3 linked regions of the Caenorhabditis elegans genome follow. The gene in region 1 interacts genetically with each later gene. Each region holds a gene or a part of one and is shown in the gene's direction. Other genes may lie near its edges. The genes, in order: fox-1, fust-1 and exc-7.

Region 1 (4,606 bases):
ACCTCTTGGATTAACCAGTGTGCCGAACCAGCACCCTCCTCAAGCCCCTATTCGATTACACTTCTCTCTTTTCCACCACCAGTCTTATTTATTTCAAATCAAAGCACTACTCGTTTTCTTCTTTTTCTTCTGCTACTTGGCTCCTCCTTCCTCACCCATCGTTAGCGGTACACAAGTTTATAGTTTATAGTTTATTTAAGCACATTTAGTCATATAATTCATAATGTTTTTCTAGTACTGTTCATATAAAAGTTTGCCAGTGATTTATCAGAAAGAGCCTCAGAAAGAAAAAAAGATTTGAATCTTAATGAATCGGAAAGTTGAAAGCACAAATACACTGAGATGGGGCAAGAATTCATTATACTTTCCGTGTTTTGTTATTTACTGAAATGCTCCCAATTTTCCCTAGATATTGCGTTTCTCCGTCTTGAAATCCGAATACCTCCTTCTCCTCCTCCTCCTCACTTGATTCCGTGTAGGACTTGTGAGGCTCGCTGGCAAAACTCCGGAAATCAAACAAGAATCGCGTTTCTTTTGCTCCTCTCTCTCTTCGTCCTTTTTTGTTCACAAAATCTAATTTGAAGAGGCGATTAAAGGTGTTGAATTGAAAAGGAACGACGTCATCTTGCTTAATCTGGCGGTCAAATCATTTTTTTAATCTAAGTTTTGTTTTCGGTAAGCTTTGGTTTTTTCAACAAATTTCCGGATTTTGTGTGGGCGGTTCGGGAACTTTTGAATGTATTAACCTAAAATATGCCCGAATGAACATGATGAATCTTCTCAAAAAAATTTTTCAAAATTTTTATAACACGGTTCAAAATTTCGAAAAAATTTGGCTCGAATTAAGTTAAAATCGCAAGTTTTCAACACTGTTTTGCGCCCAAAAAAGCGCCAAAATTGAAAATTATGGGTGAAATTAGACCTTCTTTCTATCGAAATTTTGAACCTTTATGAAAAATTTATGAAAATTTTTTGAGCAATCTCATTACCAAAATCGTTCTTTTGAGCGAATTTCGAGCTTATACGTTCCAAATTTCCCTAACAGTTAGTCCACTTGTAAGGAATTTTCGATATTGCTGAAAACTCTAATAGCGAAATAATAGCGGTAGTATGTATTGTCATATTTTTCAAAATTTTTAGTTCAAAGTTTTCCACAAAAAAAGTTTGCCTCTTGAGAAATTTCTAACATTTCTGCAAGTTTGAACTTCTGTGATGCTAAATTTCAAACAATTACTGCATAATCGGAATTTCAAAAATCCAAAATTTTTTTTAGGATTTTCAAAGTTATTATAGGGAAAAACTGATCTTGTTTTACTATAAATTTTGCATCTTTGAATGATTTTAAACAATTTCACCACTGGCTAGACATTTTAGCCTATTTCGAATTCCCAAGCTGCAATCTGAAAACCTTTTTTTTTCGAAGTGATCTGCGTTGTGACGGTTTGCAATATTTTCTTGTAATTCCTATTTTCAGGATTCGAGTTTTTTTCCCTACAAGACATATACTTCCCGTATGTTAATATTACCACCACTCCCAGAATAGCTAATATGATTAGTAGGTAGTGCTTTTAGCGCACATCTGTAAAGATGGTGAGAGCGTAGGGACGAAGACGACATTGGGACAGCGGCCACGCCCATTTCCTCTCAATTAATAAGACGTGCCTCTGAGCACACTTTTGCGCCATCCTTTCCCGTGCTCTTAACGCTCAGAAGTCAGTAGTGACCCTACTAACAACTCATTGAGAAAGAAGACGACGACAACCCGTGGGGGCAAAGTGGTCACACAAGTAAGAAACCGCGCCCCGTTTTCGTGTCTGTCGTGTGTCCCGCTATCCGTCCGGCGGGTCTAGTCCGTCTTTCCTGCTCCTTATTTGTGACGAATTGTCAGAAGGAAGAAAACGGAGAAGAAACAGCAGCAACAGCAGAAGAAGCAACTAGAAGCAAAAGCAGAAGCCGACAAAGAAGAAGAAGAAGCCTAAGGCCGTGTGAGCTGCCCCTCCGAGTTGTGTTGCGTGATTCGCCACTTCTTTGGATGAGGCCAATTGTGGTGTGACATACAGACACACATCGCATAAATACTGCCCCCCCCCCCCTTTTTTTTCAACCATTCCGTTTCCGACACGACGACTGACTCTTCAGTCAGTCATTCCTAGCCGTCCACGCTCGCCACCACTTCCCCGTCGCCCTGTTTTCCACAAAATTATTTTTCTAGTCTTTCCTTCTACTACTCTGGATACTGTAGCGCCTCTTGCTGAAACATGGCTGAACTAATCGAAGAGGTGAGCACTGCTACTCACGCTTCTCTCAATGCATGTGACCCGATTGTAGTGAATTCTGAGGTATGTTTTTTAATACTAATTTTTGTCTTGAAATTGGTCATGACTGAACGTTTCGAAAAGTTGGAAAAAACCATTGGGGCCTAAGGGTGCGCGGCAATTGCCGACCGGCAATTCTACAAAATATGACAGTTGGGCATGAGCTTTTGCATTTAAATTTAAGGATGTAATCTGGGAATAAGTATGAGTTCACTTGAAGCAACCGAAAAAACACACAAAAATCGACACATTTTCCGGAAATTTTCAGCAGAAATTTTCAATATTCAGACGATTTTTGAAAAATTCTCCACAGATATTTTCAAAAAAAAAAAAACCAAATATTTTTCTATATTATATCATCAAATTTTAATGAAAAATGTCGAGCCAACTGTCTCATTTCGTAGAATTTATTGCCGTGAACTTCTAATTGAGACTTTTTTTGCAAATCTAACTTCAACTTCAGTTTGTTGGTCGGAATGTGCACTTTTTAAGTGAGTTAGCTGCGTGTGAACCGAAAGACTATTCTAATCCAGTTTGCTTCCTTTTTTCCTCTTATTTTGTTTTGGGCTCTTCTTCAGTAAAGGCTCCATAGCATAGCTTTTTTTAATTTCGCAATTCTTCTCGTTTTGCCCATTTTGTCTTGCCAAAACAATAATGCGACTTTCCGACACAAAATTGTGTGAGAAATCTCGTCATTTTACCGCATCTCGACCTTCTCCTAAATGTTTTCGCAGCTGCTTGTGAGCCATCAAGAAAGGCAGAAGCTGGCAAACGGGAAGAGACGAAGGCTCACCCTTACTCAACGATAATTAGATGAGTACATGGATGTGAGATGGCTTCTTCCTTTTATTTGTGCTAGAAAGAAGACCGAAACATTGAAACACTCGCGCAGCACCGAACATTCAGGATTGCGAGCGGATATGTGCTGTGCGAATTGAAATAAGCGGAAAGTAGTGCAGTAATGAGAAATAGTGACCTCAACTACCTCAACTAGTCAACCATAGAAACGAGAATATCACGCAATTTACGCGGCAATTATACTACTGGATAGTTGAGGGGAGATGTCAAAAGGGGCATGACAACCAAAGTCAGCGTCAACTAGTGTTTTCGTTTCGACAGTTTCTATCTGTTTTGTGTGAATCGCGGAAAACTTTCCAACATGGAGTCTAAATTGATTTGTTATACCAAATTTGCGTACTGTTGATGGAAATTCGGAGAACTGGTTGTGTTTTTCAATATTTCCCGGTAGTCAAGTTTTGAAGTTTTTTAATTGAACATATATCATTGTGCCAAGTTTGGCAGATTTGTTCGGCAAATATTAGTATTTTCGGCACTCATTAAACATTTTGTCCAAAAATAAAAGTTTTGATCAGATATTTTATGAAAAAAAAAACATAGCATAGTGTTTTTATATGTTTTATTTAAAAAAAAATCGACACGTGCATTAGGCACACAATAAACGAAAATTATTTGTTTTCCATTAATTTTGACACTTTTTGAGCTCAAAAAAACATTTCAATTTACCGAGTTTGAGAACCACGGAAAAGGTGCCTAATTTGCCGAATTTCTCGAGTTCGGCAAATATTCAAACAAAAAAAATTTGCCGAACTTGTCGAGCTCGGCAAATCTCAAAGTTTGCCGCACACATTTGACACAATCCCTGAATGTGTTTCAAATTTTGTAAGGATATTTCTCAAAAATACAAAGTCTGTGACACAGAAAAGTGACCAAAATCGGGAAGTTTAGCTAAAATTGGGTTATTTTTTTTCGAAAATTTGCACCGCCTACATTTTAGAAAAAAAATTGAGCAGTTTCATAACATGTACGTTTAAAATGCCACGAGCTTGCGATTTTGCTTATATCTATCCCATTATGAAATTTATCGATGTTTTGTAAAGAAATTCGAAATATATATATAATGAAGCAGATTAAATCCAATCCCCTTTTCGTTCTGCCTCAACAATAGGTTATTCTCATATATTTCTATAATCAGAAGGAAAACAAATGGAGAATAATGTGGCACAGAGGAAAAAACAAGCAACCCAGGTTGACATCCAGCTTGGCTTGAATAATCTGGAACCTTTGGTCCCTCTATTGTTTCCTGCTCAATGTGTGTTTCTTTTTTTTCCTTGTTGTCGTTCAATGTACAAGGAATATTTACTTACGTTCATCATGTTTTGAGAACAAAATTGTTTTGCTTTGTTGTTTCTTTCTATCCAACCAAAACTTTTTGATTTTTTGGCCGCCATAGTTTTTGTATACAGTGTTGGCTAAAAAGGTACTCCTGATTG
Region 2 (4,606 bases), on another chromosome or scaffold:
AGTTGACGAGCACAGAAAGAAATTGCAAGTGCATCAAGAATATGAGATTTCGATCGAAAGTTCAACTACAAAAACTCGCATTGGACGTGAGATTCCCATTCAAAATATTATCGCGGTCTGCAAAAATGTTCCTGAAGTTACGAGAAGAAGATTAGAAACTTTGTCTGCCAATGACAACCTGGTTTTCGATGAAGGGATAGGGGATGATATTATCATCTCCGCAGATACCGGTGATGGAGTAACAAAAGTTTGTATGTCTATCGAGAATTGTCAGAAGCCAAACAGCAGTCTCACCGAGACGGCTCTTGGATGGTACACTGGTACAGACAATTACACAAATCTGAAAAAGTATTTCGCGGGGATTTTCGAGCAGCTCGAAAAAATGACAAGCATTCGTTATCAAGAAAAAAATGCACTCGTTATTCGAAATATTCGTCTGAAATTGGTAGGAGATCTGAAATTTGAGTCATCTGCAATGAATCATCCAGGACAGGCAGCTTCAGATTCTTGCATTTTTTGTACCGGCAGATGGGCTCATTCTGGTATGAATAAGGCTACAGTTCAATCCTTCGAATTTGATAGATCGGGCCCTCTTCGTACATTGCGTGGTATGATATCAGCAGGGTATCATCCATTACTCCACATTGAGCCATTTTGTATCGTACCACCTTGTTTGCATCTTCTGATGGGATTGGTAAATGACTATATCTTGGCTTCACTTTTGGCACTTGCCAATCAAATCGACTTCCCTGGACAGGATCTTCCAGACTCTATGAACGAACAGAGAATGGAATTGGGAATAGTTCAGAAAGAAGAAAAATTTTGCCAAAAAGTGGTTGAAAGTCTGCAAAACGCCCTTGTGCTCACGACGAAAATCAAGGAAGTTTATGAGAGTCGACTAAAGCAGAATAATATCAAACGTTCGTCGATATCTTGTGGATCTCCAACATGCTGCGTCAGTGATATGCCAAAAAGCCAACAGGATCAAGATATCTTCTTCTGCGTTGCTTGTCCATTTGCAATTCATATGGTGTGTGCTGGTAGATATACGGAGGATCAACGCCAGGCAGCTAAACATCATCCGACTGCTTGTTTAAAATGTCAAGAAAAACATATTCTTTCTAATGAGGAAATGATTGAACATGCTAATGAGGCACTTGATGAGCTTGCCAGGCGCTTACAACACGAGACAAGCCATCTTAGTAACTTGAAAGCTGCTCGCCAAGACATGACAACGGCTATTTCGACTCGAACTGGGCCAACAAAACAGAAACTCGAGGAAGTTTTGGATTATATTGGCTGTAGTCAAAAAATTAACTATCAGGGATTAACCGGAAATCAAGTAAATTTGTGATTTTCGGTATTTGAAAATATTCTAATCTTTAGGTTCGCCAACTACTAAGGACAGAAAACATTGACAAAGTACTAAAAGTCTTCACGGACTGTAGTTGGATCCAGAATATGAGAAACTTCATGAATGATTTGGCGTCACTCATGTCAGCAAGCAATAACGCAGTCTTCACAGATGATGATTTGAATGATTTCGCTAAAACTTTGAAGAACTTGAAGAGAAACATCAGAATTCTTCATCCTTCGATGGGAGTCACTCCTAAACTTCACATCCTCTGTACTCACCTCGAGCCTTACATTAGAGCAAAAAGAACTTGGGGTCGTACTTCAGAACAAGGGATGGAAGCGTTTCATGTGCTCTTCAGGACAACAGAGACGCGATTTTCTTCTGTGATGTCTCTCAAGCTACGCGCTGAGTTGATGATCGACTATTTCGCTAACATCAACTATATTTCCGATAAAAGAAACTAGTGACAGCAAACATTTCTAGGAAACCGTTTTTATAGTACATCTCTCTCTCTCTCTCTCACTCACATGTTTTTTTTTCGATTAAATCAATTAAACGAGCAGAAAAGCCATGAATGATCTCTAAATTCCGACTTACAAAGTGTTTTGAGTTGATGATAAGCGTGAATCCTAATTTTCAATTGCCTAAACTAACAAACGGGTTGTGAATGGGTTCAGATTGGGGTACAGCATGAAAATATTTCAAAAGAAGTGAATACAATTTTAGAAAAACCGAATACAAGCAATGTAAACATGAAAATGAAACAAAAAAACGAAAAAAAAATCAACCTTGTTCGAAGAAAATGATGAGAATTAGAATGAGCAAGGAAATGCGAGAGACTTGGAAATGTGAGAGACGCAGCATTTCACGCGAAACGCGCCAGCAATCGTCGCGCTTGCGCATTTCGAGACGAGGATACTGTGTAAAATTGTAATCATTTGTTGCAATTTTTGTTCTTGAGTTAACTTTATTTTTCATTTTCCTCGACCTAATTTCTCAAAATTGTTAAAATGTATACTATTTATTACCCTGCAGTGCTCAAATCTTGTGATGAGCACTATCAAAGTTTTAGATGGAGTTTTTTAAAAAGTATTTTTTTTAGTATAATTGTTTTTTTCAGTAAATTTAGTTTTTTGGAGCAGAACGCTGAAATCTGCCAAGGTTCGCTACAACCAGATATATCTAGATATAACTGCAAATGTGCGCGCTCCATTGAGACTACACGCGACGCACAACCGCGACGCGTATTGGACAGCGTTCTCCGTCTTCTTTGAACAGCATCTGTCCTCAACCATTCTCTTCTCGTTTCTCTTTTAATTTTAAGATATATTTGCTCTTCAAAGGATAAATTTCAGTCAACGCATCGACACGTAGCGAGTGCCTCGACTTGAATATCGACAAAAATGGGTTAGTTTCTTTTTTAATAGTCGTTTTCTTATTGGAATATCGAAATCCGAGTGTCCACTGAAAGTATTTTATTTATCCTCCTAACACCATTCATGTTTTATAAATTAGGTTAATGCGTGAATTTGTGGGAGCTCCCGAATACAAATCACGGGCGTTGCCATTTCTGTTTCCCGGTTATTTGAAAACATTATCGATTTCAGCGGCTTACGACCAAAGTCAACCCGACTACAGCACACCCGAAGGGCAGCAGGCGTATTGGGCCTATTATCAACAGCAACAACAACAACAACCAGGAGGTCAACCTGATGTAAGTATATGAGATTTTGTGGGCTGATCGCCTCACTATCATGGCTTTGCTCAGAATTGTTCAGGAGCATAGTTCTGCTGTTGAATACCACCAGGCTCACAGACGTTTCATAGTTTAAATTTCAGCAGGATCCGTACGCCGCTGCTGCTTATGGAGGCCACGACCAAGCACAACAACCGCAAAATCCATATGCACCACCACCACCAGGAGCGGATCCATACGGCCAAGGATCCGGAGGCCAATCCGGAGGATCTGACCCCTACGGGCAAAGTAGAGGTGGCGGCCGTGGAGGATTCGGAGGCAGTCGTGGAGGAGGTGGATATGATGGTGGACGTGGCGGAAGTCGTGGAGGATACGACGGAGGACGCGGAGGTTACGGCGGTGATCGCGGAGGACGTGGTGGTGGTAGAGGTTTGTTCTTGTTTGATTAATGTATTCATAATAAACCATGTTTTTCAGGTGGCTACGACGGAGAACGCCGAGGTGGGAGCCGATGGGATGACGGAAACTCTGATCGGTAGGTAAACATCTGAATGTTTCGTTAGCAATATGCGGTATTTCCAAATTCGTTTGCTTAACCATCCAAAAATTGTTGTGTTGTGTTGAAAATCGAAACTGCTACAGAGTTCAGAGTATTCAGTGTTCATATACAAAATCTATTCACTATTAAAAACTTGCGAAGAGTAATGTATTGTGTCCGTCATTGTAAGTTTCATGAAAAAAGGTCAGTGTCCGCAATGAAGCACAAATTCATTGTGCTTTATCGATTTGTAGGGCTATGGCCCGGTTTCCTTCAAAATATTATGCAGTTCAGCTATTATTACGTGTGTTCGGTATCAAAACGAGTCAAGAGTGAAGAACAAATGAAGTCTACCAAACGACTTCGAGCGTGCAGGAGATGCTTCTGTCTGAAATCTCTCATGCTTGAAAAATCTTAAAATCTAAATGATCGTGTTTGTGCGTACAAAAAAAAATCAATTGAAGGTGTATTATTGCGCGGTCGAAATCTGAAAACATTTTACTGTGGTGTTAGCATGAGAGAAGAAGACAGAAGACTCCATTCAAGAATGATGTTTTGCAGACAGGGCGGACCTCCAGGAGGAAGAGGAGGTTATCAAGGTATTGAATACGTAAATTGCTTTATCTTTCGTACCACAACGAGTTTATTACCAAAATTAAAAAAAAATGGGTATCCTACCGAGTTTATCATCGAAATTCAAAAACAAAAAACATTAAACGAATATAAAAATACTTGTTCCTGTGCTTTATATTATTGACAGTTGGACGAAAAAATTGTTTGTAAAAGTTTTCATATTTTCATTGCAGACAGAGGACCCCGACGTGACGGACCACCAAGTGGAGGAGGATACGGAGGCGGTGGTGCTGCTTCAGGAAACCGCGAATTCGGATCCGATGGGCGAGTTGAGTTGAAGGAGACCGTCTTTGTGCAGGGAATTTCCACCACGTATGTTTTGTAATCGCCCAATTAAAAAATGTATCTATATTTCAGTGCAAATGAAGCCTACATCGCCGAC
Region 3 (4,606 bases), on another chromosome or scaffold:
TCGTTTATATTCACTTATACCCATTCCACTTATCCAACTTTTATTGTTTATTGGACCTTTGGAGGGGTAACAACTAGATTGCTTATGATACAGAGTCGCTACTCAGTCAGTTTACATATAAGTTGGTTATAGATCATTTTTCCATGGTTGAATAGAACTTTTATCGTTTTTAGTAGTTTTACTTCCTCAGAAACCAATAAAAATATTTCAAAAAATGACCCTTTCCGGCGTTTGGGAGCAATTTTATATCTGTTTCTAATAACCTTGCCAGATTGACAGAAATTTGCTCCTAAATACCGTGTTGTCATGGAGATAAGGAACTATCCTACCCTTTATGTTTAAAATCATTATCATATGCATTTCATATTAAAAGTTCCTACTGGCAATTTGTATCAGTTAAAAAATCTAAATCCGATCGTGATCTCCTTCTTCTAAAGTCAAGTTTTGCAGTAAACTTTCGAAAATATCCTCCATTGACCGTGCTTTGAACTTTACAGTCTTTGAATCCGTGATTTGTGAAATCGAAAACCCCTAAATCCGAAATTCCCGAAAAGTCCAAAATCGCAAGGGTTAAATGTAGTTTGAAGTACTTAGTAGTCATTTATCTCAAACCAAAAGTCCAAATGGAAGGGCCATACCTAATTATTGGGAACGGATCGAAGGCATGAAATACTGTATCCTGTAAAAGGGCCTGAGCAATTATGAATCTCGCCGACGCGGGGGTACGTACTCTCATCCGGCCGCCCTCTCCTCTGCACCACTTTTCACACAACAATATGGGGGCCACCCCCCTCTACCTAACTAACACATAATTGAGTCCCCCTCTCTACCTATTCAGGTTTTGTTGTTCATTCAACTGTGCGTGTCGTGTGTATTTGTATGGGGTGGGACGAGAGGCGGTGAAGAAGAGGACTAATGGAAAACCACAATTGAAGAGTGCGTTTCATCGTCGATCACCGTTTCTATGGTAGTTATTTTGAGATGACAATGATGTCGATTTTTTTTATTGTTTCCTAGCATTCCATAGTGACCAATTGCCAAAGTTTTGTGCTTAGACAGGTTTTGGGATATTCTCAAGATCAGCGGAATCCTTTTTTTTTGTTGCAAAATTGCAGAAGCATTTGGATATTTTCTTGACTAGATGGTGCAAACTTGCGATGGAGTGTTTCCAGTTCAAGAAAACTGGAATCGGAGCAAGTAACAGGGTTACTGTAGAATGGTTGATGGTATTCTATAGGTTTATTTAACTCGTTCTTTCGTAGCCCCTACGTTTCTTTAAAAATTCAAACTTCCCAGAGCCACAAAATTTCCACCGGGCTTCACGTATTCCCTCTTACCGAACACCTATTCAAATACGTGTCATCTTCAATCCTTTTCCCCTATATCCTTCACTAACCAGGTCAGTCATGTTTGATCAACCATTGTTTCCACACCTGCCCTCACAAAAATCCTCAATCATGATGCGCTCTTATTCTTTTTTCTATGATGTTGGAAATTATGAAATTCAGCTTTCACACTGTATTCTTGTAATGTCTGGACCCTCACTATACACTTATTCAAGCCGTAATTGGCGTGTATACGTATCCATATAATGTGTCAAGTTCACCTGTTTCCTTCATTTCCGTCTGAGCACATGATCCAAAATCTTATACAACTGAATTCCTTTATATAGATTGTGGAAAGTTTCCTGCAATTTCTAGTAGTTCTTGTTTCCTAGTCTTTCGGCTTCTTATCTGCCTTTTTAAAACTTTACCTACCTCATAATCCGTACAGTTCCCATTTTACCTGTTACACACATACACAGGTATTTAGAAACTAAGCATCATACCAGCAATAATAAAAACAATAAATGTTCTTTTCATTGGCAATGAGATATATTCATGCGTCTATGTAAACCAATAACAAAGCTAATTAGAATTGAAAACAACAGGGAATTGAGTGGCAGAGTATAGGTATGTCATGCTGTGCGCTGCCATAATTCTGCAGCTTCAGTTGAGTGGAGTAGGATTGTGAAAAATCATGGTGTACAACTAGTTCTGTAAAGTTTCACTGATATTAAACGTTTTCCATTTACTTTTATTTCACTTCTATTTTTCTTGCTCTCTGATATGTTTTTTTAAATTAATTATCAAACCTATGAAATTACAGATCCATCTCCCCTAGTCTCGGCCGGCCCAAAACGAACGGAGCATATACGGGGAGCCGCGGCACACAAACATACACAAAATATAAATAGGCCACGCCCATTTGTGCATATTTCTACATATATCCTCGCGACGGGCCCCCCGCCCCCCTGAGCCCCTTTTCCTCTTCCTTCTCTTTGCTCTCACAACAACCGGAGCTCTTTCTTTTTGAAAAGAGCCCTCTTTTGTTTCCTGACAGACCAAGTGGAAGAAGTGGTGGTGTGTCAACTTCAGAAGACAACGAACGACGCATTTTTGGATAGGAAATTCGAATTTTTGAATTCCAAAATTCGGTCTTCAAAATGACGATGGAAGCGTTGCTAACACCGAATAACAACAATGTTCCGACGAGTCCCGTTCAGGTAATTTTTTTTTTCAATTTTTATTAGGAAAGATCTATATGAAAGTCCAGAAGCAGTAGAAAAAAAAAACAAAAATAAATACGGTTTTCAAAATCTTTGAACATTGAGGTCTACAAAAAGTCCAGAAATCTACTCGACTGTAACATTTCATATTTTGGTTGCCTAAGATTTTATCAACAAAAATTCAACTAATAAAATATAGAACCATAGCAAAGATACACATTTTAAAAGTAGAACAGTAAACTGCGGTAATTTTGAAGAGCTGTAAGTTTGTTACAGGTTCTAACTGTGAATGGTTTTTTTATTAGTTAAATTAAAAGTTTAAAAAAAGCTTTTAGAACCTGATCATGACAGTTGTTTAAAATTCGGACTAGGTAAACTGGATGCTTAGGCTCCGTTCAGATCTAAAAGCTAAACAAATTGTTGAGCCTTGAATTCTAGTAATAACCATAAATCTGAATATTGTTTCTTCCCCAATGTCCAATCCGTCAGTGAGCCCGAGTCCAAACTTGGTATACATGCGTGTGCATTTGACGTGTCATTCTTTCAAGAAAGCTTCCCAATTCCCAAATGCCAATTTTTCAAAATCCGAGAAGCCTTCTTCCTTACTCTTCTTCTCTTTTCTCCGCCTTTCCGAACCACTCCTTTTCGAAAATACGTCCCATTCATTACGCCTTGAGGGAGGAATGAGGGAGGAATAAGGACCAAAAATAAAAATATTTGTTTTGTGAAAGAGCTCAGAAGCTCAGATTCCTGCGTGCTCATCCACCTATATTATGATGATGTGTTGTGGTGTTGGTGGATGGGAGTGGAAATGACATGAAAATTAAAATATGGAGAGAAAAATTGAAAAATAACAAGAGAATACTAGATTTTTAGATTTCCTGTTGAAAATTGTTTTCTTTTTTTCTAAAAAGTTTTTTGATTATTGAAAAAATATAGCTGAATTAACAATATCATAATTGTGCAATATATGACTAATGAAATTGGTAGAAACGAAGTTTTTTTTTTAATTTAAATTTCTAGAGGTACTATATATATGGAATATTCTAAAACTCAGCGATTTTCTTCAGTTTTTTTGAAGTGTTTCTTCAAAAAATTGATAGAAGACCTATAAATTAAAATTTAAAAACTTTTAAAATTTTGTGAAAATTCAATTCGAAATCTACTAGAATTTATATCACAGTTTTGCTAAATTACGTTCCTCCTCAATACCGGACGGTTCAAAATTTTATTTCTATAAAACGCATATGGAACTCTTTAATCAAAGATCCTATAAAAAACTCTTAAAGTCTATTCATTCCAACAGCGTAGAAAAAAACGTTTGCATATATTTCATTTCATACATTATTCCCTCTCAAATACCCATGGGTATTGTTGCTCTTCCAGTGAGCACACCAGGAGGTGGGAAGAACATGCGGGGGGCTCCATCTCTTCCATATAGACTTGCTCACGCACAGGAAATTTGAGACGTGGCCAAATAATGGACAGCGAAATGGATGAATTCTCCGGTTACTTGTACCGAAGAGCCCTCCCGCGCGCGAGAAAAGAATTGAAATTGAAAATTGAGATCTCCCGGTGGAATGAAAGATTGGAAATCATAGGGGAAATATTTTTGGGTCAGATGTAACCTCCAAAAATGGAATATATAGTCAGATTGGACAAAGATGGCAGAAAAACATAATAATTTATTTATTCCCAAATGAAAAAAATGAACAATTTCCGGGGTTACCGACGCTTCTCACCAATGCTAGGCACCCGAAAATATACGAGGTGTATTATTTATGTAAATTGACAAAAACGGGACTTCTATCTAGGGAGTTCAGAATTTTTTACATCTGAAAATCGTAGATTTTCATTCGAAAAACCGGGACCATTATACAAAAATCGCTTTTAAATTTTAAATTTATATTTTTTGCAGACAACCTACACAAGTACACAACGATACTGCTCCGCGCCAAATGTGGATATTGGAGAATCAAAAACAAATTTAATTATCAATTATCTGCCACAAGGAATGACACAAGAAGAAGTTCGGTCCCTTTTCACATCGATCGGAGA

The links.
Region 2: changes in fox-1 (region 1) and fust-1 impair growth when combined (synthetic growth defect), as found in Caenorhabditis elegans (one study listed by BioGRID).
Region 3: changes in fox-1 (region 1) and exc-7 impair growth when combined (synthetic growth defect), as found in Caenorhabditis elegans (one study listed by BioGRID).

The regions. Positions count from the first base shown.
Region 1 is NC_003284.9:2,453,602-2,458,207, reverse strand, and holds the start of fox-1 (Sex determination protein fox-1), read left to right. Parts: upstream 1-2,258; coding exon 2,259-2,339; intron 2,340-4,606. UniProt on the Caenorhabditis elegans protein: RNA-binding protein that regulates tissue-specific alternative splicing events by binding to 5'-UGCAUG-3' and 5'-GCACG-3' elements. Also binds to poly(A), poly(G), poly(C), or poly(U) stretches of RNA.
Region 2 is NC_003280.10:7,149,940-7,154,545, forward strand, and holds the start of fust-1 (RNA-binding protein FUS), read left to right. Parts: upstream 1-2,712; 5' UTR 2,713-2,760; coding exon 2,761-2,764; intron 2,765-2,964; coding exon 2,965-3,071; intron 3,072-3,196; coding exon 3,197-3,482; intron 3,483-3,530; coding exon 3,531-3,588; intron 3,589-4,152; coding exon 4,153-4,190; intron 4,191-4,397; coding exon 4,398-4,536; intron 4,537-4,581; coding exon 4,582-4,606. Other genes in the region: T07F8.1 (Zinc finger PHD-type domain-containing protein), read left to right, coding at 1-1,342, 1,387-1,821.
Region 3 is NC_003280.10:9,573,823-9,578,428, forward strand, and holds the start of exc-7 (RRM domain-containing protein), read left to right. Parts: upstream 1-2,148; 5' UTR 2,149-2,485; coding exon 2,486-2,545; intron 2,546-4,466; coding exon 4,467-4,606.